Lepisosteus oculatus: one gene and its partners. Each later gene encodes a partner of the first gene's protein in a complex. Links are inferred from orthologs where the notes say so. Each region holds a gene or a part of one and is shown on either strand. Other genes may lie near its edges. The genes, in order: irf2bp2a, vgll4b and zbtb16a.

The links.
Region 2: the proteins of irf2bp2a (region 1) and vgll4b are in contact, whole or in part, in a crystal structure (PDB 8YTF), measured with the Homo sapiens proteins. The link is inferred for Lepisosteus oculatus from reciprocal best matches to the Homo sapiens genes IRF2BP2 and VGLL4. Residues at the interface, in NP_892017.2 of Homo sapiens: Thr516, His517, Phe518, Val519, Gln520, Pro522, Phe531, Leu557, Trp564, Ala565, Phe566, Met567, Glu570, Thr573, Ile574; in NP_055482.2 of Homo sapiens: Arg161, Ser163, Val164, Ile165, Thr166.
Region 3: the proteins of irf2bp2a (region 1) and zbtb16a are in contact, whole or in part, in a crystal structure (PDB 8YTH), measured with the Homo sapiens proteins. The link is inferred for Lepisosteus oculatus from reciprocal best matches to the Homo sapiens genes IRF2BP2 and ZBTB16. Residues at the interface, in NP_892017.2 of Homo sapiens: Thr516, His517, Phe518, Val519, Gln520, Pro522, Phe531, Leu557, Trp564, Ala565, Phe566, Met567, Glu570, Thr573, Ile574; in NP_001018011.1 of Homo sapiens: Arg285, Ser287, Val288, Ile289, Thr290, Ser291.

What each region holds. Positions count from the first base shown.
Region 1 is NC_090712.1:6,536,472-6,544,105, reverse strand, and holds irf2bp2a (interferon regulatory factor 2-binding protein 2-A), read right to left. Parts: upstream 3,084-7,634; 5' UTR 2,771-3,083; coding exon 1,942-2,770; intron 1,515-1,941; coding exon 799-1,514; 3' UTR 374-798; downstream 1-373. UniProt on the Homo sapiens protein: Acts as a transcriptional corepressor in a IRF2-dependent manner; this repression is not mediated by histone deacetylase activities. Represses the NFAT1-dependent transactivation of NFAT-responsive promoters.
Region 2 is NC_090699.1:62,081,860-62,089,099, reverse strand, and holds the start of vgll4b (transcription cofactor vestigial-like protein 4b), read left to right. Parts: upstream 1-4,186; 5' UTR 4,187-4,672; coding exon 4,673-4,754; intron 4,755-7,240. UniProt on the Homo sapiens protein: May act as a specific coactivator for the mammalian TEFs.
Region 3 is NC_090718.1:9,938,907-9,945,860, forward strand, and holds the start of zbtb16a (zinc finger and BTB domain-containing protein 16-A), read left to right. Parts: upstream 1-3,907; 5' UTR 3,908-4,017; intron 4,018-4,385; exon of another isoform or gene 4,386-4,875; intron 4,876-6,954. UniProt on the Homo sapiens protein: Acts as a transcriptional repressor. Transcriptional repression may be mediated through recruitment of histone deacetylases to target promoters. May play a role in myeloid maturation and in the development and/or maintenance of other differentiated tissues.

The DNA of each region.
Region 1 (7,634 bases):
CACAATTACGAGACCTATTTAGGAAGACGTACAGTAGGTCACTCACTGCCCCCCCCCCCACACACACACACAACGACACAGATGTATTTCGCCGCCTCGCAGTTTTTGTTATTCAGTGCTGACAAATGAGGGAAATATTTTGTTGCCGAGCCAAAACAAGCCCGTCGCGGAAGTGTCGAGACATGCAATGCTTTAGGAAGACGAGCAAGCCTACGGCTTCGATATCGGTTCTCTTTTCTGCGCTGTGTTACACTATCGCTGGTTTCGTGCTCCAGCTAATTGCGTCACTAGCTGCGTTGATCCATTATCGGCAGGGTAGACCTCTCTCTAGGGCTTTGCTGATTACGAAGAATAAGCAATCACAGACACTAAGTTATTATTACAAGGTCAGAAATTGTATTTGGCAATTTTTTTAAACAAGTGCATACAAGTACAGCTAAAAGCATTTCAGTTGCGTCAAGTGCTTAGAGTAGCATTAGTCACATTCTACGTTTAACAGAAACTGCCACCAGACCGAAAAGGTAACATCGAGAGAGTCGGCTTAAACATCAACAAAAAAGGGGTGGAAATGTAGTCCATTATAATGAGTACATACCTTTATCTTCAAAAATATAGAAACACAATGTATTCAAAAATCAAAAATTATACAGCCATGTTTATGAAGTATACACTTTCCTCGCTCGCGTCCAATATGTACAAGTCCATTAGTTTTGTTTGGATGGTATGCGTGTAATTTATATTTATATATTTTGTTGTTGTTGTCGTTGTTTTTTTTTAAAAAAAAAAACGATAATAAAATCAAGGGTCCCTCTCCTTTTTTACTTTGACGTCCCCTGCAAGAATGGTGGCTATTTCACCTTGCATAAACGCCCAGGGCACGTTGGAGCCCACCAGTGGACACTTCTCCCCGCTGGGGCAGTACACCTCCCCGGTGGCGCCCTGCTGCTTGATGCTCTCCCTGGAACACGGGAAGCAGAACTTGTGTGACGGCACGGACGGGCACTGCACGAAATGCGTGTCCTCTAACCGCTCGTGGCAGAGGGTGCAGCACAGCGGGATGCTGTTGGGCACGGAAGAGTCTGGAATGCTCTGCGGGTGCACCTGGTCCATGCCCGGCACGTGCGGCGTCCCCGCGCCCGGCGCCTCCCTCTGCCCCAGTCTCCTTTGGCTCATGGAGGAGGGCGACAGCGGGCTGTTGCTGTTCCGGCGGGTGGTCGAGTGCACCTGGTTGGCATCCTTGGGCGAGCTGTTGCCCCCAGCGTTGTCCGCCGCCAGGATGAGGGCGGCCATCGGCGACTGGCCGTTCTGCGCGGCCTCCGGCGGGGTCGTGCGGTTGGAATGGGGCGAGATGGTGGACGGCGCCGTGGCGAAGCTCGGGGGCACCGTGGGCATCTTCAGGACCTCCGCCGCGGCCGGCTGCCACTGACCCTCGCCATTCATCTTCCCGGCGGTGCTCTCTCCCTCGGGCTCTGGCGACGCCTTTCTCTTCATGTTCCGGGGATGCTTGCCTCTGTCTGGTGGTGGTGGTGGTGGTGGTGGTGGCGGCAGGGGGGGAGGGGTTGGGGAAGTTTAAAAAACAACACGTAAATTTGGGCTAACGGCAAGCACATCAAATCATGCATGAAAGCCCTAAACAGGCACCGCTTTCGGTCCGCTCTTTGATCCGCACTGCAAACCCCCACGTTTTAAATTACAACACAAATAACACATGGAAAAAATGAGGCGGGCAGGGAACCGTGCTGCTGTGTACTGTAATCACCCCCTGTACAGTAGAGCCCTGAGCCCTCACACGAAAAGAATGATAATCAGCGGAAATACCCGTTAGCACGTCTGCTGCAAGAGAGGCTGACTCAGTCGAGACGCGTCCTTCTGGTCTGAAAACACACGCTCAGCGAAAACAGGGGGCGAAAGAAAAGCGGGGCTCTGTCGGGGGACGCTTACCTGGCTTCGAAGCGGTGGCGTTGGCGTCGTAGCCCATCACCCTGCCCTGTGGCATCGCTGCGTGGTCCTTCTTGTACCGGCCGTCCATCGTGTGGAACGCCATTAAGTCCCTGACCGTCTTCCCTTTGGTAATCCACTCGTCCGGCCGGTTCTTGTGGCTCTCCCCCAGCTCGGACAGGCTGTCCGCCCTGTGCTTGTCCTTCAGCTCCCTGTCGTGCTCCGTGCTGGACACGGAGGCCGGCCGCTTGCCGCTGATCTCGTTCTGGCCGGCCGCTGTTAGCGCCGCCGGGATGCCCATTTGCGCCGACCTGCCGTTGACAGCGTGCACGGGCGGCAGGGTCCCGTTCACCAAAGGCACTATATTCGCGTGGACCGTGCTAGTCCTGCGGGGATTGGGGCTTTGCCTGTTCAGCTCCGGGGGGTCGTCGGGTTTGGGGAATCCATTTGGGACAGGGATGCCGTTAGACTGCCTGCCAGTCGGATACTCTGGACCGAGTCGCGGCGGCCGGTCCGAGGCGAGGGGGTAGCGATCCAGGGGCTGCGGCAGGCGAGATCCCGGGTCCGCCGCCGTGTGGTTGATGGGCTGGATCTCCTTCCCCGAGAGCTGAGGTTTCACCGGCCCCGGCGATCTCCCTTCCTGGAAGCCGTGAGCCCTCTTCAGCTGCCGGGCTGTCTCGATCACAAACTCAATCCGGTCTGCTCCCTCGTAGTTGACACATCCTCTGCAGACAGCCTCAGAAAAATCCCAGATCATAGCCCACGGCATGCGGGGCAAGTCACATAAATAACATGACTGCCGTCTGGAAGCAGCAATCGCCGCGGACGACATAGCTTTTGCAAAAAAAAGTATTCAACGGTCTTCCTCCAGATGCCTGCGTGCTCGTTGCTGTTAAAATCAGATACAGCCAGAAAAAGAAAAAAAAAACTTTTGTTGTTTCCTTTTTTCCCCTCCTGACTGCTGCAACAACAATTAAGTTACAAACAGAAGTTCATGGCAGTGTGTACTTTACTATAGCGCGGCTCTATCTATCTCCCACACTACTACTGCTCCGGCTCAATGTGGAGCGGTGACGTCATCGCGAACACTAAACTTGTGGTTCCAGCTCCAATTCTATTTACTTGATTCTTCGACAGCCCCCCTCCAGCGCATGCGCTGTCTAGCAGTCTCTGCCCCCTTTTTTTAAAATCAATTGAACCGATGCCAGAAATACTACAGTACCTCAGCCCGAGAGCGCAAAGCCGATGACTGCAGGAAGGCAGACTTCAACTGTTTGCTGTTTTGTCCTACCCCCACCCCCTCTCTCCCTCCAACTCGTACTTTGCTTCCGTTTCTCCTTTCAATTTATTAAACAAAAAGAAAGCACCGTTTAGAGAGGACTGTGGCAATGGGAAGACCTTATTCATAGGAGGGAAAAAAAAACTTTAATGTGCTTTGCTTTTTTAAAAAAAAAAACGTGCTGGATAACCTACGTGGGGGACTACGTTGGTGGTGTTTTTTTTGGTTTTGTTTTTTTAATGAAAACACCATTCCTGCGTGGTGTGTCCTTAAAACCGCAAAAAAACAAACCGTCGCAGTAGGTCGGATTGCGCCCGATTTCAGCAGACAAAAGCGATGTCAGCATGTTTTCAGTCTGTGGGGGGAAAGTGGAAATTGTAAGGAGAGATGCCAGTCGTGACCGGTGGAAATCACTGAATTGGTGGCGGTAGTCTTATGTTATAGTTTTTTTTTATATATATATATTGCTGCGTTAGTGCATTTGAAAACTAGGTTGTGGTAGGTATTCGTTTGGAAGGAGACGGTGGATCCCGGCTACAAAGTGTTAATGCCCTTTAAGCAACCAGACTCTGCCAGTTGCGTCACCAATGTTCTCCAGTTTCCCGGCTGTTCCACGCATGCTCAATAAGTACGTGACTCTATGCAGTTGGCACTTCCCAGACCCATTTAGCAAATCCACATTCCAGCCAGAATACCAGCGCCGCGTCACACTCGACACCGCCCTCAGCTAACCGTGAAAACAACAGCTCGCTCGACTTGCATTCTGCGGACTGAGTTCTGCAATCGTCTCCGTGCCCCCCTCTTTTTTTAAAAGAAAGACAAATTCCTGAGTACGCAGAAGTCATGTCTAATTTTCGCCCCACATGTTACTGGCAGTATAATTCTTTAAGGATATTAAAACGGACATCGTTGAGCGTAATTTGTGCTACTTCGTGAAGCCCGGCACTAAATTATAAACGCAACAGAAAGATGGGCTTTACAAACCTCACATTTAGGTATGCCGGTGGCAGCCACAGAGGAGTGTTTATTCCTGGATATAATTTGTAACATACGTGTAGCGAATGTGTTACATTTTACTGTTCGGCGATATAAATAGTATGTATCCGATTGCATTCACATAACTAAAAGCAATAGAACGCATTGGTAATTTATGTAGACGAATAACACGATGCAAAAATAACCAAGTTATACTGCACAGTACTGTATTAATAGGTCGCAATTAGAACGAATATTCTCCCTGCCAATAAATATTATTCTCTGGGCTTATGTTGACCTTGTCATGTGGCCGTCACAGGCTTGTTACTATTGGAAATGCTACAGTAGCTGCACACTCTATTCATTTTAAACACTGGAGTGAGTAGGCGTTTTTTTCAATCTATTGAAACTGCTTTCTTAAATTACACAAAGGAAATGAAGCCGAAACCAAACACTTAGCATTCAGGTTTTCAGCTGTCGCATGGCCTGGGGATTTCCAGTTCAAAAGATAGCAACAGGTCGTGTTGTTTTTAAACTACCACAGAGGTGCAGATGTACAAACGCAGCGCCTCAGAAAATCTCCCGTTTTTAAAGTAGCGGACTTTATTTATTCCGACTACAATAACAAACTGATGTTTAAAAGTAACAATCTGATACTTGCACCGCATTGCATAGGGCAAATCGGAAATAATGTCATTCCTTGAAACGGAAGATGTTTAAATCGTTTTAAAACCAATATGTGCAGTTTTAAAAACGTTTTATTCTTCGTACTTTCACGTAGTGGTATTGTCTCCCGCTGAAAACTGTGATCTCTCAAAGGGAAAAAAAAATCCAGAATTGGCTTTAACCGAAAGAAAAGGGTCGTAATTACGTGCAATGGACGCGAAAAAATCATTTAAACTGCATTTCTTTTTCTGCATGAATGCAAGAGAGCAGACTGAACGCCCAGCTACCCGCATATTTAACTTCACCAGGGCAGGCAAAACTATAACCGGTAATTTTGTTTTGTTTTCACCGCCTTGATGAAATTGGCCTGATTCCAAACTGGCCGTAGCTGCTGCTGCTGCTCAGTTTTCACGGGTGAGGCAATGCGTCTGAAATCTGCAGACACAAAGCAGAATTTGTTTTTGCAAAGCCCTCGTGACGACGTTCGAAAGAGGAAGTAAGATGTTTAGTCACGTACCCGCGTCTTACCTCGCCCAACCCCGCTAGAACAACAAGCTGAACCACCTGGCGCCGAGCCAGAGACCGGGGCATGCGCAGTGCCACTGCCTGGCTCCCGGAATCAGACCTGCCCCAAAAAACACCATTATAGTATTGTGCTAGTGTGCTGCTTTCAATGGCATTTAAGCATTCGGGCTACTTAGTGCTGTTTCAGTTTGCATGCTGGTGTTTTTCAAAGATGCTAGCTTGCAGACCTTGCTCTGATTATTGTTTTTGCGTAGTTGTGTTACGTCCCAGAAAAAAAAAACCCGAAGCATTACTAATTTTAATCTGCAATGGCGGAAGTTACTAAAAGGCGCTTGTTAAGACTATATTTAGTTTGTAATCAGAGGCGTGGTCCTAAAATTCGGTTCACAGTTTTGCAAGATTTAGATTAGGATTTCATAAATGAGGTACAAACGTGTTTCTCAATGGACGCGGAAACGTTGAGTGATTGCTGTAAATTAAAAGGCATTTCCAGACAAGGACAAACGGAGATGTATTCTAAAATTTGACTGTATCTAGAAAGTTCGACTGATCTGTCTGAACTGCCAGATGCCTCGTTTGTACTGTTCCTCTTAAGTAGTTTTTCATCCTTGTATTCATTTGAAAGACCACTGGTAACACATGCGATATAAAAAGATTACAAGTAGTTTGAGCTGTAACAGGGAGTTGCAGGAAAACTACTTTAATTCTTTGCGAAAGTTTTTAAAAATGGTACAAAAATGCATGTAATAATGTATTTTCCTTTAGGATGGATATTTAAAATTTGAGTTAAGTTAAAAGTATGAAAAGCCCTGATGAGACTTAAGAGGAAATTCTTTCATATCTTTGCTGTTTTAGTTTGACATCAATGTGAACTGAAGACATCAATTAACACTTTTTCGGGTTATCTAGTTATGGATTGCACTACTGGACTTCAGGATATTTATTTTAAGATTGCTTGCATGCATTTTCACTGTATAGACACACATAAACAAAAGGTTTGTGTTGCACATTACACTTTATTGCGACACTACTACAAACAATAGGGGTCCATACTGTAGAGAAGTTTGTAACTGGGACATAGTGCCAAGATTGCCATTGTAATATGTAACATGATTCTATGTTTTTATTGGTTTTACTCAGCAGAATCGTTTACTCCCGAGTGTTTGGGTTAAAATAACCATTCTTGTGTCAGGTCAAATCTTTTTTTTTTCCTCCTGAAAATGCGTTGGGAGCCCAATGGATGAAGAAAGATACATGGTTTTGTTAACCGGAGATGTGTGAAAAATGCAGTGTTATAAATGAGTGGTCTTTCATCTAAAAATGTGCCTCATTTCTCAAGTCAGTAGTTTGGTGAGGTCCTAATGAATGTGTCTTTGAGGGTGTATTGTACTGCTTCTCCTAGCTGGGGGAATGGCAGTCTGACTGTAAGGATGAGGCTGAATGAACCCCCCTCTCTCTCAGCAGGAATGAGCCAGGGAGCCGCTGCAAGGGTGGGGATGTGGTGGCAGGAGGGGTGCGACAGAAATGCGCAAAGGGAAGTCCCGCCAGGCGAGATATGTATATATATACGTAGCAGAGCGGAAGTGTGCATGATTAAGATCTAACCTTCCTCCCAAACCTCTGTTATGAGCTCCATAAGGAAAAATACTCAACAGATGTCTATTGTGTGCTGTTACAATCCGTGATTTATGTCTGAATAGGCTGTAGAAAAGAGAAAGGCACTTGTCCGATGTTATACATTGTTGCAGGCCAGCCCCCATCAGGGTGATTGTCAGATTGTCTGTAACATACCCTTTTTTTCAAGCTTCATACCACACTGCCATGTTTCCAGAAAGTTGTGGTGGACTATAAAATGTGCTTACAAGGCAACTTGAAATAGTAATTACAATGAGAACATCATGATTTATGTTGGTTATTTACAAAAGCCATACCGTTTCTGGTCATTACAAAAGGCCGTGTTACAAAATAGGCCTGGCACGAAGACAAGTTTGATCAGACGCCTCAGTAAGTAAGATAAATGTTTGTGCCTCTTGACTCAGCTTTTTCGTTTTCAGCTAAGAGATGAAAATATTTAATTTCAGTCAACACAACACATGATGGCTTTAATCTGCCACATCTAGCCTGGATCCCTGCGGTGTTCTGCGGCTTGCAGTCTGATGTATTTTATGCCACCAGTTCTGTGTAATGACAAGTTCGGAACACAGAAAACATGTTGGGTAATTATAGAACATAAAAAACAAGACTGCGTCTT
Region 2 (7,240 bases), on another chromosome or scaffold:
CCTGAAAAACCTGAATTTTGACACCGTTGGCAAACCTCACATGCAAAGGATTTCAAGACTTTTGTTTGAATGGTTCACTTTCATTCTTGAGATCATAAGTAATATGATCTATATTAATATGTAATAGTTTAGTACAACATGATGGATTAGCCTTTCATGAGCTTTAGAGCTGTACAGTAAAGGTTCCTTTATATCAAACAGTATAGCTACAGAAAATGTTTCCAATCAGCGGTAGAGCATGTTGCCCTGAAAGTCTTTTGTGTTAATAACCTGAGTTTTTGGAAGTCAGCCTTTTAATTTTATTATTACCTGAATGTCCATTATGTGTGTAAATGTGTGAAACAATAGGCTAGATCTGTTTTCGCTGCTGTTTTTTTAGCTATTATTCCCTCTGCCTCAAACCCATTTAGGACCTGTCAATTTAAAACAGTCCGCATTTGACTGAATATTTGACAAGGTCAACAAAGCATTTCTAGCAATTAGTGAAACCTAGAATGACAGACACTGTGGCTGGTGTCCTGCTGACCCTTCTGAGTGTTTGGTTGATGGGTATTGAAAATGCGAAGTGAAGCAGATTTATTCCAAGCAGTAATTTATTCTCAATCCTCTATTCTGAAGCAGAACAAGTCCTTTGGGGGTGGGGGGATTTCCGACTCTGTGATTCTGGATAGTTTACACCTTTACCTGTCCCCTTAGGAGTCAGTCATCCATCTAACTGTCTAATGAAATGCATTCACAAACCTTCCACAGTCACAGCTGCAGTGTGGATTGATTGAAGGTAGTGAGGTTTGCCCTGATTGATGAGATTTTCATCACTCTGATGACCTGGAATAAATCGCAGGTGCAGAGCAGAGGATTTTGGGAGTGTTGTAATGGTGGTTTGTGAAAGCCTTACCACCTGGGTGTCTACCCACCTGCAGTGCGATGTTGTGATCGTCTAACGTCTTGTCAGGCTCTAAATCCAGGTGGACTAGACAAGTCGGGTTTTGTGCAGTGTAAACACGTTTCAGGTGGAGCCCTGTGACTCCTGCGTGTTTAAACCTAATTCAAGAAGACGTTGCTATATTTCATTTCTTTCATCTTAATGCAAGGCAAACCCAATCCGCAGCAAATGAGAAACCACATGTTCTGGAAACTACCTCTGATGTGTTTTTTTTACCTCTTTATTGGACAGTACAGAAACACAGTGTGCGCCACTGGGTGTTGTAACCTGGAGTCTTTCCTGTAAGCACTGGGCATGCAAGGAGGGCACCCTTGATGCGATGCCTGTGTCCTGCAGGGCATGCACACACCAGGAGAATTTAGAGATGCTAGTTATCATAGCCAGCACATCCCTGGAAGGTGTGAAGAAATAGGAGCAGGCAGAAAAGTCCCATGTGGACATAAGGAGTATATGCAAACTCCAGGATCCTTCCAGAGACCAGTGATAATAACTGTGGCTCTGTGCTGGCCTTACATGCATATATAATAGTTTTATAACGTATAACAAGATCTATCAGTAGGACAGTGCTGTTGATCATCTTCTTACTGAAATCTTACTAATCCCACATCTTAATTAATAATTCCTTACACTTATATTGCACTTTTCTGGACACTCCAGTCCATTTCTCTACCATTTCTAAAGGTTCCTGGGCAGCATGTTAAAGAAACAGAGTAAAGATCATGGATTGCTAAAAAATGATTTGCAGTAGTAACATTGGTAGATGAGAAAATTAAGGAAAATTGTTGCTTAAGTTTTTTTACTTAGAGGTTTCCTCTTCTTATTGCAGCCTGTTAATAAATGATATGTTCTGTCTGTTCAAAGACAAGCTGTTCATGCCTTTTAAAACATCCTTGTTGGACACACTTTCTAGCAAAAATGCTTTGAATTGCTTTACTTCAGTGAGAGTTCATGAGACCTATCATTAAACCCCACAAAATGCTGGCTTTAATTTTTAAAAATTCAAGACCTAGCCTTGAACGTCATGAAAATTGAATTCTGGATATATTTACCACTAGGGGTCAGTGTAGTATTGCATGGAATTTTGCATACTGCGTTTCAAGATCAGCATTAAAGCTCATAGCTTTTATTTAGAAATTTAGCTGGGGATTGTCCACAAAAGAGTTGCAAGTGATGGATTGTCAAGCATCTAGTTGAATTTATGGTTTGTGCTCATGTTTTTTGGAGGAGTTAAAATCTTTGGTTTTACTTCTGATTCTCCTTGTTAATATCAAGGATATGTTTGTTTGTGCTGTAGTATTTATAATTATTTCAGGTTTTACAGACTGAATGGCTGCCCTGTGTCTCTAGATTGTCTTTCAAGTTTCATCTTTAATGAAAGTGGTCTTAAAAAGAGTTCACTAAATCTGTTAACTGTTTTAAAAAGTGTCAGTTAATCGTAGATGTATATGCAACTACAACTTCATGACTAACCATAGTGAATCTAAAGCCAAACATTTCTTTCTTAGTCTGTTTAATGTTTTAATTTCTGTCATCATATTTCAAAGCATTAAGCAGGATGTGTGCACACCTATTACTTTGGGTTAGCTTGGATGGTTATATAAAACTTCTTCCCAGAACCTGATGTTTACTTTTGTGGAGAACATAAATCCTGCTTAGCTAGAACATACTTAACGCAGAAAACAATACTGACTTCTCAGTAATTGCTCTTTGAGAGAGATTATGTAGGGCTAAAATCCTCAGAATACCACAGAACCCTGGGAGATTTCATAATCAACAGAATTAAAAGCTTCCAGGAGACGGTTCCTAAAAATACATTTCTTCACATTTACTTTTTTACCATGCCTTCGAGGGCTAAAACTCATTCATATGAGTACTATTTTCTTTACTGTAAAGGTTTTTCAATATAAAAAGTGTTTTTTTTCCTCCTCGAAGTTATATGTCAACATGCTTTTTATTCTAAACTCAAAGCAGGCATTTCAGTACGATAACCTTTAAATATAACTAAGACTGGAGTTTAGGTACTGATAATTCATCTAAAGACATCTTAACCTATGTTAAAAACACAAGGACTATGCAGAAGCTTTCTTTGGGAAAATGTTTGAATTCAGGGTTGCGTCTTCATTTGCAATATGCAACAAGATGATAAAATGATGAAATGTTAAGAAATAAAACTGCTCATACACATGGTTTCTATAGCGGTTCTATTCTGCTCCTGGCCTATAGATCTCCGTTTAATATTTTGTAATTAATTGTAGCATTGTTAGTACACGTTATAGACATACATTTGATTATTTGATCTCTGGCTGTTAAAGTGGGATTTCTTGGAAAGGGGTTTTCCAGTGTAAAACCACAATCCTCTGTTATTGTAGAGATTGTATCTTCTGATACCTCTATCTTGTATAAAGCATTGTTTACATTTCTGATAGGGCCTTCGCTATAGCTTAATCCATGTAGAATGTGAGACTTTCCTAAGCTGCAATATTGTGTACATGTCTTACTGCTCTGAAGTCCACGATTTTACCTTAAAAGTGTTTTTGAATGTATATTTGTGTTATTGTTGCTATCAACGTGTCGTTACACTTTTTGAATTGTTACTGTGTCAAATACAGATGTTAAAAACCAGATAAAGTAGCCGTGGCCTGCCAAGAAATTTTTAGAAATAACGGAGACATTTGGTTGTTTCAGCAGCTTGCTGATTACTGATGTCATGTCAGCTTTGCCTTTAACAAAGTTTTTTTTTATAATTAATATAATAATTGCTTACACTTATATAGCGCTTTTCTTGACACTCCACTCAAAGCGCTTTACAGGTAATAGTGACTCCCCTCCACCACCACAAATAAATATGAACATTTGTGAATATTTTTTTGTCCAATTAAAAGCGGGATAGTTTAAGAATTAAGATCAGTTCATTGACAAGCAAAACTCCTAAATAATATTTGGGCGTACAACGGGCAGATTTCAGTCTTACAATCTCTGTATGGAACAAGACTTTATTATTAGATCAACCGGTTTTTTTTTCTGTGCTCTTGCAGATTTTATACTGAACTCCAATGATTGAAATGCTCTAAATATAAATACTATGTGTGGGGAAAGTAAGGAGACTGTGCATCCTTGAAAAGACCTCTTTGTATTTTATTTTCGCAGAGGCAGCACTGTTTCCTGTGACACGCAGTTCTAACATGGCTCCGCCTTTTTTTGGGGGGGCCCCCTTTCCATCTCTTCGTGATTTCCCTCACTCGCTCAAGCCCTCGACGCTTTTGGAGGGCTGATCTTGTGCAGAAAAAATCCCTGACATTTGAGGCGCTCCAGGGATTTAACGAGCATGCCCAGTGGCCAGAGCCTACATAGAGGAAACTGGTTTACATACGAGTCATACCACGCATAGCCTGCTTGTCAGTGCAGTTAACTTGCAGCGGGCTGTGAGGAGAACTGGCGCGTCTCTCTTTTTGTCCCAACAACAGTTTCAAAATCTATTTTTAAAGCGCAGCATACACAAGGGTTTTCTAAAAACCTTGCGAAAACCGCAATACGGCCCCTTACTTTTAAAGAAAGCATCACCCCTTGACGGGTTGAAGTTTTTTTTTGTTTTGCTTAGAGAGAAGTTAAAGGCTGGGCCTTTAGCTTTTGAAGTTGTGTGCTAGACAAGCTGAGCGAGCGGTCGTGCCGTTTTCTCTCTCTCTCTCCTGGGTGGAAGCAAACAAGCTGGTCTTTTTGCTAACCCAATAAATGCTTCTTACGAAAATGGACCTGTTGAACTACCAGTATCTGGACAAAATGAACAACAACATTGGGATTCTTTGCTACGAAGGTAAACCGTAACTTTTCGCGTGTGTGTGCGTTTCTTTTACCCCTAGCGTTTACATTGTTGCTTTTCAAGGCCATTGTTGTAGTAGCGGTGTCAAATTATCCAGGGGGGTTTTCAGATGTTTTTTTAGTGACGTCTTCGGATCGGTGCCTTATTTTTAGCACACAAAACCTTGCTTTCATGAAAATATATCGCCTCTGTAATTTAATGTTAACACGATTTGATGAGATTCCTTGCTACGTTGCATAATTAGTAATGTAACAGGTTGGCGGGGGGAAAAAAAGTGTCTTGAGGGCACGGAAATTGCATCACGTCCCAGCTTAGCTGGTACAGACTACTCCTTTTCCTACTACTTTTAAAATAACATGGTTTCGGAGACGTGACTTCGTATTAACAAAGGGATGCCGTCGTCTGGTTTTTGACAGTGTTGAAATGGCAGTGTTCAGAGGTGGGGCGGGTGTAGTACAGACTTCAATCTTTGTTTGACTTATTTCCTGGGCTGAACTGAGGACGGGGGGAAAAAAAAATCACCGACAGTGGACGATGTTTCCTGCCCCGTAGTGGGGAGTAATCGGACACACTAACCCCTCCCTTCCTTGAAGGAAAGCGAGCTTTTATCAATGAGGAGATCGAGTTCGTCGTGTAGTGAAAGTTAATTGCTGTGCTGCTTATGAAATATGTGCTGAGTGAGGTGTCCGGTGAAATATCTTGCGACCACGTCTTTACTACGTGCAAACTGAACGAATTACAATGGCTTGCCGACATAACGGAAAGAAGGCCGTACTCGACTAATTAGATTTGAGAATGCAGTGTTTTTTTGTTAACTGAAACCGCACACAGACAGTTGCTGCAATTTATTTCTAGGGAAGGCCAGACGCTTTCCCGAAGTTTGGAAGTAGTTGAGAGAAAGTTTAGCGTCATTGTCATTTGGAGAGGAGAGATTTGTCCTTGTAAAGAGACATATGGTTTTCATACTTAGCTTAAAAACTTTAATTGTTTAAAGGAAGATTCTTTACAGACCAGTTGCTGTGGTCTCTTTTTTTGCTTTCCTGTGATGTGTCCGGTAATTTAAAACCTAGTTCAACAATAAAACGTTTTGAATGTCACGCTGCTGTCACAACGCAGTGTGGCTCTCAGTTTTAGAATTCATCTTTGATTTCTATCATAACCACAGAAATCACAGTCCTGAAATGGTTTTTCAGGGTTTAACAACTATACCGGGTGGGGAAACTAAAGACATCGCGGTAGTTATGTTTCTGTAAGATCAAAACCAGTTTTCGTATACAGTACTTGTTCAATGTTTCTGTAGCTTGTCTTGTTAGAATGTTCCAGTTGTGATCATCTCCAGTTATCTGAAGATCTTGACTGTAAAACACTACAGCAGACAGCATTTAAAACCTGGGCTTATCAGATACTCTAAAGTTCAAAATTAGCCTTATCTGTGTTTTAGTACTACTGTATATATTTGAGCTGAGGTATGATGTTTAAGTTAGCAATGCAGCAAATGGACACTTTTCTGTGCTAGTGTGGAGTAGTGAGATCTGCTGATGGTTTTCCTATTAAAAGCGGTTCAAGGGATTCCGTTATCTGTTGAATGTCTTGAGGTTTGAGCTTATCAGAGAAACTCCAGGTCTTGTCTGAATGGTCTGGGAGTCTGGGCAGCTGAAGCACTCTGTACCAGCCTCCTGTTCACAGCAATCACTTGTCAAATGACAGTAATGTGATATGGGCTGCATTCTGAGCAGAAACATCTGTGGTTCGTTCTGATTTGTACTCTGTTCAGATCAGGAAGCCAGTGCACTGTAAGGTGGCGAAGCTACAAAGCGTTCAGGTTTTTCATATTCTAGTTCTGAAGGTAGCAGAAAATGTGGAGTCCTGGTGTAAAACCTTTAATTGCTCCGTTGGCGAGCCAGGGTTTGTGCTACGGAACTTTTAAGGAAGGTTTTGGATCCGTTTCTCCAATTTACAGTTGCAAAGAAAGGCCAATCGTAGACAATGGCAACGAACTAAGCTGTAAGTTTATTCTCACGTGTGGAGGAGAAGTTATGTTGCAACATGTGTTTCCCCGTGTTGCCATTAAGGTGCAATGTTTTACAAGGCCATTCCAAAGATTATTGTATATATACAGAACCTGCTTTGCAATGTTTCTGCATTCGAACTGTACATTTACAGTAAAAAAGAAGAAAAAGTTTTAGATTAAGACACTTTCCAGAACTTTCCAGTGATCCTTACTACATGGCTAACTTAGGCACAGCACTCTCAAAGACTTTCTTCTCTTTGAAATTCCTTAGTAAGCATGCTCGGGGCTTAAAGTGTTTTGAACTCAGTAGGTGTTTCTGCTGCAATCAGTCAAATCAAAGAAAGTATTTGTAAGAACCCCCGAAGTGTGGCAAATCTTAAATATCAGCAATCTTTGGTCATAAATTCTTGAATTGCTGTGATACATCCATTATGATCTCGTGAGATTACCTTCGATTGTATTTAACTCC
Region 3 (6,954 bases), on another chromosome or scaffold:
GATTACAGTGTCAAATTCAAAACTATTTTATATGATGCTGTTTGTTCCTATTGCTTTGTACTGTACAGTATATACAAAGGTATATAGAGTTAAAGTACATACCAGACTATAGACTATAGATAAGTACTTTAGACTCAAGGTGTCCACTGTAGTCAAGGTGAGAGTCGGGGTCTGATCAAAGCTTTCCCTGTTACCATCTCACCATTTGGTCTGGGGATCACATGTATTAGTCAGCAATCCACAGTTGTATAGGTAAATTGATTTTCTATGCAAGTGCTTACCAGTCTCAGTTTGTAATGGATTGTGGAAAGCAGAGTTTCGGCATAATACAAAATAACTGAAAGCTGGAATATGTACAGTACAGATTTTCTTCTCTGTGTGTAATACGAGTCCCAATACCATCTCCCATAACTTTTACTTTGCAATCCTGCACCTCATTGTCATTAATAGATGGATAAATGTTTTACAGTGTTATCAGAGCACTTGCTTTCAGATCAGTGGCTTCAGCTGTGTACAGCAGGTGTTATCTTGCAGCTCCTCGTTCTGACTCTGAATCAGAGTGGCCCATAGTCTGTGTCAAAGGCTGGCAAACTGCCGAAAAAGCCCAGCCTCCCTCTCTCACCTTACTCGTCCTAAACTCAGGCATTAATCTCACTTTAACGGCATTAACCACCCCCAGGCTTCAAAGCAGGGCCTGAGAAAACAGAAAGGAAGATTTCTTCACAATGAATATTTGTGGTTGTTCCTCGCTGCCGAGTGTTGTTTCAAGACACCAATCCCCTTTCTCTCAGTGAAACAGGGATTAATTGAAGATTAAGGCCTTTCCTTTTTTCTGTATCCAGAAGTAAGTCTCAGGAAACCAAAGCACAGAGGTTAAAAAGTACCTTGTGACCACAATCTGAATGACCCTGAAATTTTAATCGTGGTGGAGTACTTTTTGCCTTTTTATTTGGAGAATAAAGATTATAATATTTTCGTCAATGCCATATGTATATTAAATATTTCTTTTTACAATCTGTGGTAGTCATAAATAATCAACAATGGGTATTTGGAACATATAGAATACTGGTTAGTATTTTATTCACTGTATGGATTAATTAATAGTCACGCTCTTGAAGCAAGCAACAAGGCTTTCAGTCTGAGTCCACAGTTTATTTTTTTATGAGCATTGTGGTTCTGGGTTTTGAAGCTCTGAAGACAATATACTCTTGAGTTGATGTTTTTTAGGCCAATGCCTGCACATACAGTAAATTAAGGAAGACCTGCTGCACACAAATCTGTATTCAAGTACTAATAAAGGTGTGACCAGAAATAAGTTAGTTCATATAGTTCAATAATGATAATAATAATAATATGCCACTGTATCTTCATAGGTCAATAAAATAGTGTTCTTTCTTACAAAAATCTGTACCCTATGAAGAAACTGCTCTGCTGCTCACTTTATATTCACATCTAAAGTTCCATTGAATGAAAGGCGCATTTTTCCATCACTAACACTTGCTCAGTGCCATCATTTCCAATCTGATATCTTATGTATATTTTTGGAATCCTTGAAAAGGTTATGATTTTCTATCACAACAGTGCATATTGTGTGTGTTTAAAAATGCATACGGGGTTATTTATCTTGTGATTATCGAAACAGATTTTACACAATACACAGAGCACCTTCATCTTTACCACCTTTTTGAACACCCAAATAACACAGTTCAAAACTTAACTTCATGCAGTAATGCAGCTAGCTAAAGGAAATCATTTAGAAAAGCAATTAACAGACTGTTAAACTAATACAAATGCAAACTATACAGTATGTTAAAATCTAAATACCATACTGTACTTTAGGTGTACTATCGCTATTACTACTTCAAATAATTATGATGATGATAGTAATATTGCTTCATTATTAAGGCCAGTATCCTGCACTTCAGCCTTTACATTTCAAGAGTACATTTATGGGTACAGTGCATGTATATCATTCAAAGGAAAAACAATTGAGTCGTGGGTAATGCCGCAATGTAGAAAGTTTAATGGTAAATACCGTATACAGTATATGTGCTTTAAAACAGAGACTTACTGTACAAGGAAGCAGAACTAACAGCTTATACACCAGCCTTAACTGTGTAGCTATTTTAGATAGGGAAAACCACCCCAGGAAAGCATTTCAAATTGTTAAAACAATGTCTATAACATGAGTCTATCAGCTGTTACTTTCATGGAATATTCATAGCTTGAAGAACACACTAGTCATATGAATAGACTGGTTATTTTAAAAAGTCATTGGCACAATGGGTCCTTTTCTCTAAGTGTAATTTTGTAACTTAAAGAAGTGTTAAGAATAACATTTAACCTACTGGTGGGAACATTTTTATTATCCATAAAAATAACCTGCAAAAGTGGTGTGTTTTTTATGCATTCTCATACTCTACTATTTTTTAATGACGGGTACCTGCAGGTCAAATTTAAAGACTAATTATGTCACTTTTTTTTTAGGAATTATGAGGACGGCGCAGTGTATTGTTTCATCTTTCAAGTACAAAACGTTCAGTGCATTGGAGGAATCTGATGTACAACTAAGCAGTTGCGTCTTCCCGTGTCTGTCACGGGATACAGTGTAGAGCAAACTGCTATAGTACTTGTGGAACAATACTTGTAGCTTCAGAAAATCTGATAACTCAGCGAGGATACTATTGAATACAGTATGTCAATCGGGGCTTTGCATGTGCGCTGTATCTTTAAAATGTGTAGATCATCGACTCCATATTTGATGCTGGCAGAAGCGATGCTTTAGCGCTGTCCAGCACTTGTTTTTAGACCTGGTTAATCAGATACTACCCATAGTTACATTGTTACATGTTACAGTGATGCCTAATTAAATTAAATCTAGGCGCTACAAGTGACCTGCAAAACGCAACTGATCGAGCAAAAGACCGTGTCCGTGACAGCGGGGTACTGTCAGGAATTCACTTACAATTATGAAGTTGCGGATCACATGCGTGATGTTGAAATACAGTTTTTGCTCACCACGACGCACGGAGTATTGACTTCTATTGACGGGATCTGTACATCATTTGAAACATCTGATTAAGGTCCGCTAAATGTGCTGCACTGAATCTAACACGCGCAACATATGACTTAAATATTGCTAATAAATCGGGTTTTTTTTTTGCAGCGTGTGTGTTATATACATGGCAGTTGTAATGCCTGTTAATGATCTGCAAAAACAAACATTGTTCACCTGTTTATTTGGCGTCAGTGAGAATTATTTATTTATAGGCTTCTTACACGTTATGTTTTAACAAATTGAGTGTTATGCATAACGCGGCCCCATGCATTTTGTACTTAAAAGTCTATAGTCATTCATATATTTTTAAAAATGTATCATTTCAGGACGACAGTTTACACGTTTTTGTATTCAAGTCTCACAAACATTTTCCATTAAACGTTATTTCACCGTCTAGACAGTGCTATTTTAAAAAAACCTGAGGCTGATGGCATTTTACTGTATGGCATAATTAGTTCCTAAACACGTCCCTCCAAATTTAGTACGCAATTCCTTTCCATCATTTTTCTGTCAGTAAAATGATTTTAGCCTGTTACATTACTCTTTTACAGCCCCGTAATCCGTCATTTGTAGCGCATGTTATTTAAAAGAGCATTTCCACACGTGCCAGATTTAAAACTCCGGTTGAAAAACAAAAAACAAAAGGCGAAGCACACCAAAACTAATCATGGCGCTTCTGTAATTTACTGTATCTACACACGCTCGAAAATACTTTCTCCGTAGTTTTTTTAAAGCCAGCATTAAAGATGGCAGCCCCCTAGGTGTCTCACTTTCGCAGCGTTTTGTGGTGCTAAAGAAAGAAAAAGAGTGAGTCAGTGCGGTGACGTCACCACTGTGTTGATTTGCTAACCCTAAAGCAGAGAGGAGCTAGTGCGTGTGAGAGCGGGTACTGTGAACTGTTGCGTTACTATGCTGCTGCCCCAATAACAACACATTCGGAAATTTAACGTGCAACCTAGGTAAGTACACATATCTTACGGGCTAGCAGCTTCTACACAAATGCATAGCAAACAGTCCCGTCACTCTGCATGCTTATTTGTTTTTGCTCTGCTGTTGGTACAGTAAAAGTGTAAAGGACCAACTCGTCGGTAATGTTACGCTTAACAAACCCCCAGAAGTTACACTGTCTCCAATACCGTGTCGCTAAATCGAGGTCTTCATGATCGCTTTCAGGAGGGGGAGGATGTTTTCGCATTTTGCGAAATACACTGCAAAAGTAATGAGACATTACTGTATGATATTTGGAAATCCAAAGTTGTTTCCATTTGAGAGATTTATAATCATATATATATATAAACGAATTCTGATGTTGACGCTGCTCGCTGTTTTAGTATTCTGGAGATCGCAACAAGAGAAACGTGTGGTCTGACTGTACAGTTGACTGCTCAGCAGACAGTGCCTACCTTGTGAATAGCTTTATCATATGAGGAGATACCCATGTTCTGAATCTGCGGAAGACTGTATACAAACATATTATCATCACAACCATTGTACAGGGTCATTTTATGTGTAAATATTTGTGAAGTAGCTGTAACAAATGCAGTGGCTTCATGCACTTGATGCGTTTACAGACAGTGGTCGCGGGAGCCGTGGTGTGAAATTATTACCAACACCGGTGTGGGTTAGGAAGCTGAACATTTATTGGGCACAGAGATCAGACGGAATGATACTGCACATCATACAGACGAGAAAGTGTTGGATTGGTAGCTAAGGGCTAATAAATCGCTAGATTTTTGAAGCCACCAATTTTCTGCAGGCAAGCCTTTGCGGGCAAAGAAAATTATTTTTAAGGTCTTCTGTAACAGTGAACGTGCAAGGTAGGATTTTACTACTTAGGTGCCTTTTAAAAGAATCAAATAATCCAGCATGGAATTAACATGTCAAATGTTTCTTATTTTAGCATTATGAGAAATTACTATAGGCGATTCACGTGGGTTAATCAGTGGCTTCTCTGAAGTCACCAATTAAAAGCGTGATTCAATCAATTGTAGTTGGGAGAGATTTTTTTCGGGTAGTGGATTATTTTTTTCCGAAATCTCGGAGAAGCAGCGATGTTCAGTAAGTCATTGTGACGGTGTTGTTCTGTTACTGTTATAAATATGTATTAGCGTTTCCATAACATGTTTTCTTTTTCGGGAAATGCGTTATTTTGGTCTGTTTCTCGGTACGCATTCTGTGTTTAACGATACAGTCTACGTTGAAGCCCGGAGTACAGTGGATAATTAGGCAGGGGTAGCATTAATTAAAAATTGCTGTTGTAAAAGTGCGGTGTTTTGTTTCTTGAAACCACAATGTATCGACTTTTTGTGGGTAATATAAAACCGTGCTTCAAAACATTTATAGTAAAATATAGCCTGCTATAACTGTTTACTCCTTAAGAAATATTAGCTAAAACACGAAGCACTTTTGCTTTTGCGCTCTGGAAAGTGCCATGATAGTAAATCTTGTGCGCTTTGTATATTAAGACAGTTGATATTTTTGTGGAATATTTTATAAACTACTTAATACGTTCAGAAGTTTGTGCTTTTCTCCCATGTGTTTTACTATTCTGCTAATACTTTTTAATTTTTTCGCGCAACGGTTAATAATGACGTTTCATGTCTTATAAATAACACAGTAAGTGGAAATTCAATTGAAGTCGTAATCCGACGTCCAATAGCATGTAAATCAAGTCAGTATATGTGCAGTAGACGTGCTTCTTTCGCATGATGACCCTAACCCCACATTCAGATGTCATACAGTATATTGTATATCGATTTAGTTTTAATTATATCGTTACAGAATGCGTTACAGATTTAAACGTATCATTGAAAGCGTTACGAATTGTATTATGTTTGGCAAGAAAGCACAAAATGGGCTATTTCTGATTTTATTCTGAAAAAGCGATGTAAAAGGTGCTCCCAAGAAGTTTTGCATGTTTAAAATACTCAGGGGATATTATGTGCCATGTAATTTATTTTTGCTTATAATGCGCGAAGGTCCATAACGTGTTAAATCTTTTCCCTCGATTTATAGATGAACGTCGTGTTAAGACGTTTAAAATAAAACTATGAAACAAAAATAAGTTTTTTTTTTCTGCAGTAGCAACTGGACTGTCTTATTTCGTGCGTTGGATGAGTTGCATTACACTTAAGAGTTTGAAAAATGTTTTCTGGTAGGCTTTAAGAAAATTCCCAGTCTAAAGTGAAGTGAAGCCTCAGATGATAAAGATGATAAAATATTAAAGATGTTTGTGTACACACATTCATGTACCTTTGTGGTGTTTGTTTACATAATATGTGGTGTTACATTTGCTCAAAACCCAAAGTAGGCAAGTAACTCTTAACATGTATTTTCACAATTTAAAGAAAACTCCAGTTTATGTACAGTACTGAATGCTTACTACAAGAATGCTTCGTGTTGAAATCCCCTCCCTGTTGTGAATGCAGCCGTTTGATTAACCAGTCACATTCCCTTGTATCTGTACAGTCTGCTGATTTACTAGCAATGATTAGGTTTAATCTGTGTTTTGAATGCACTTATAACCCTTTTTCGATGAAAGTATTATGGACCAGAAAGATGCTGTATTTATTTTTATTAGGTAATGCACTTTACTCACCATTAATGTGTAAACTATTCGTTTGCTACGCTTGTAATGCCTGGTAGGATCGATAAAAAGTAAAACGTCTTTCTTTTAAATGCGCAAAAGTTTTTGTTGATATGAAAATGGAAATATGGAATCTCGATCAAAGTTAGACCTTGGCTTGATAGATTTCGTCTAATGCTGCTCTTTTTGTTTAAAAAAATGTAAAGGATTTTTTGCGTCTACAAATGTGCACATTCGTGATTTAAGTTTTCTTTTTGTGAGTTCACAGAGGTCTAAACCATTAGAAATAGATTCATCCTTAAATTTATTT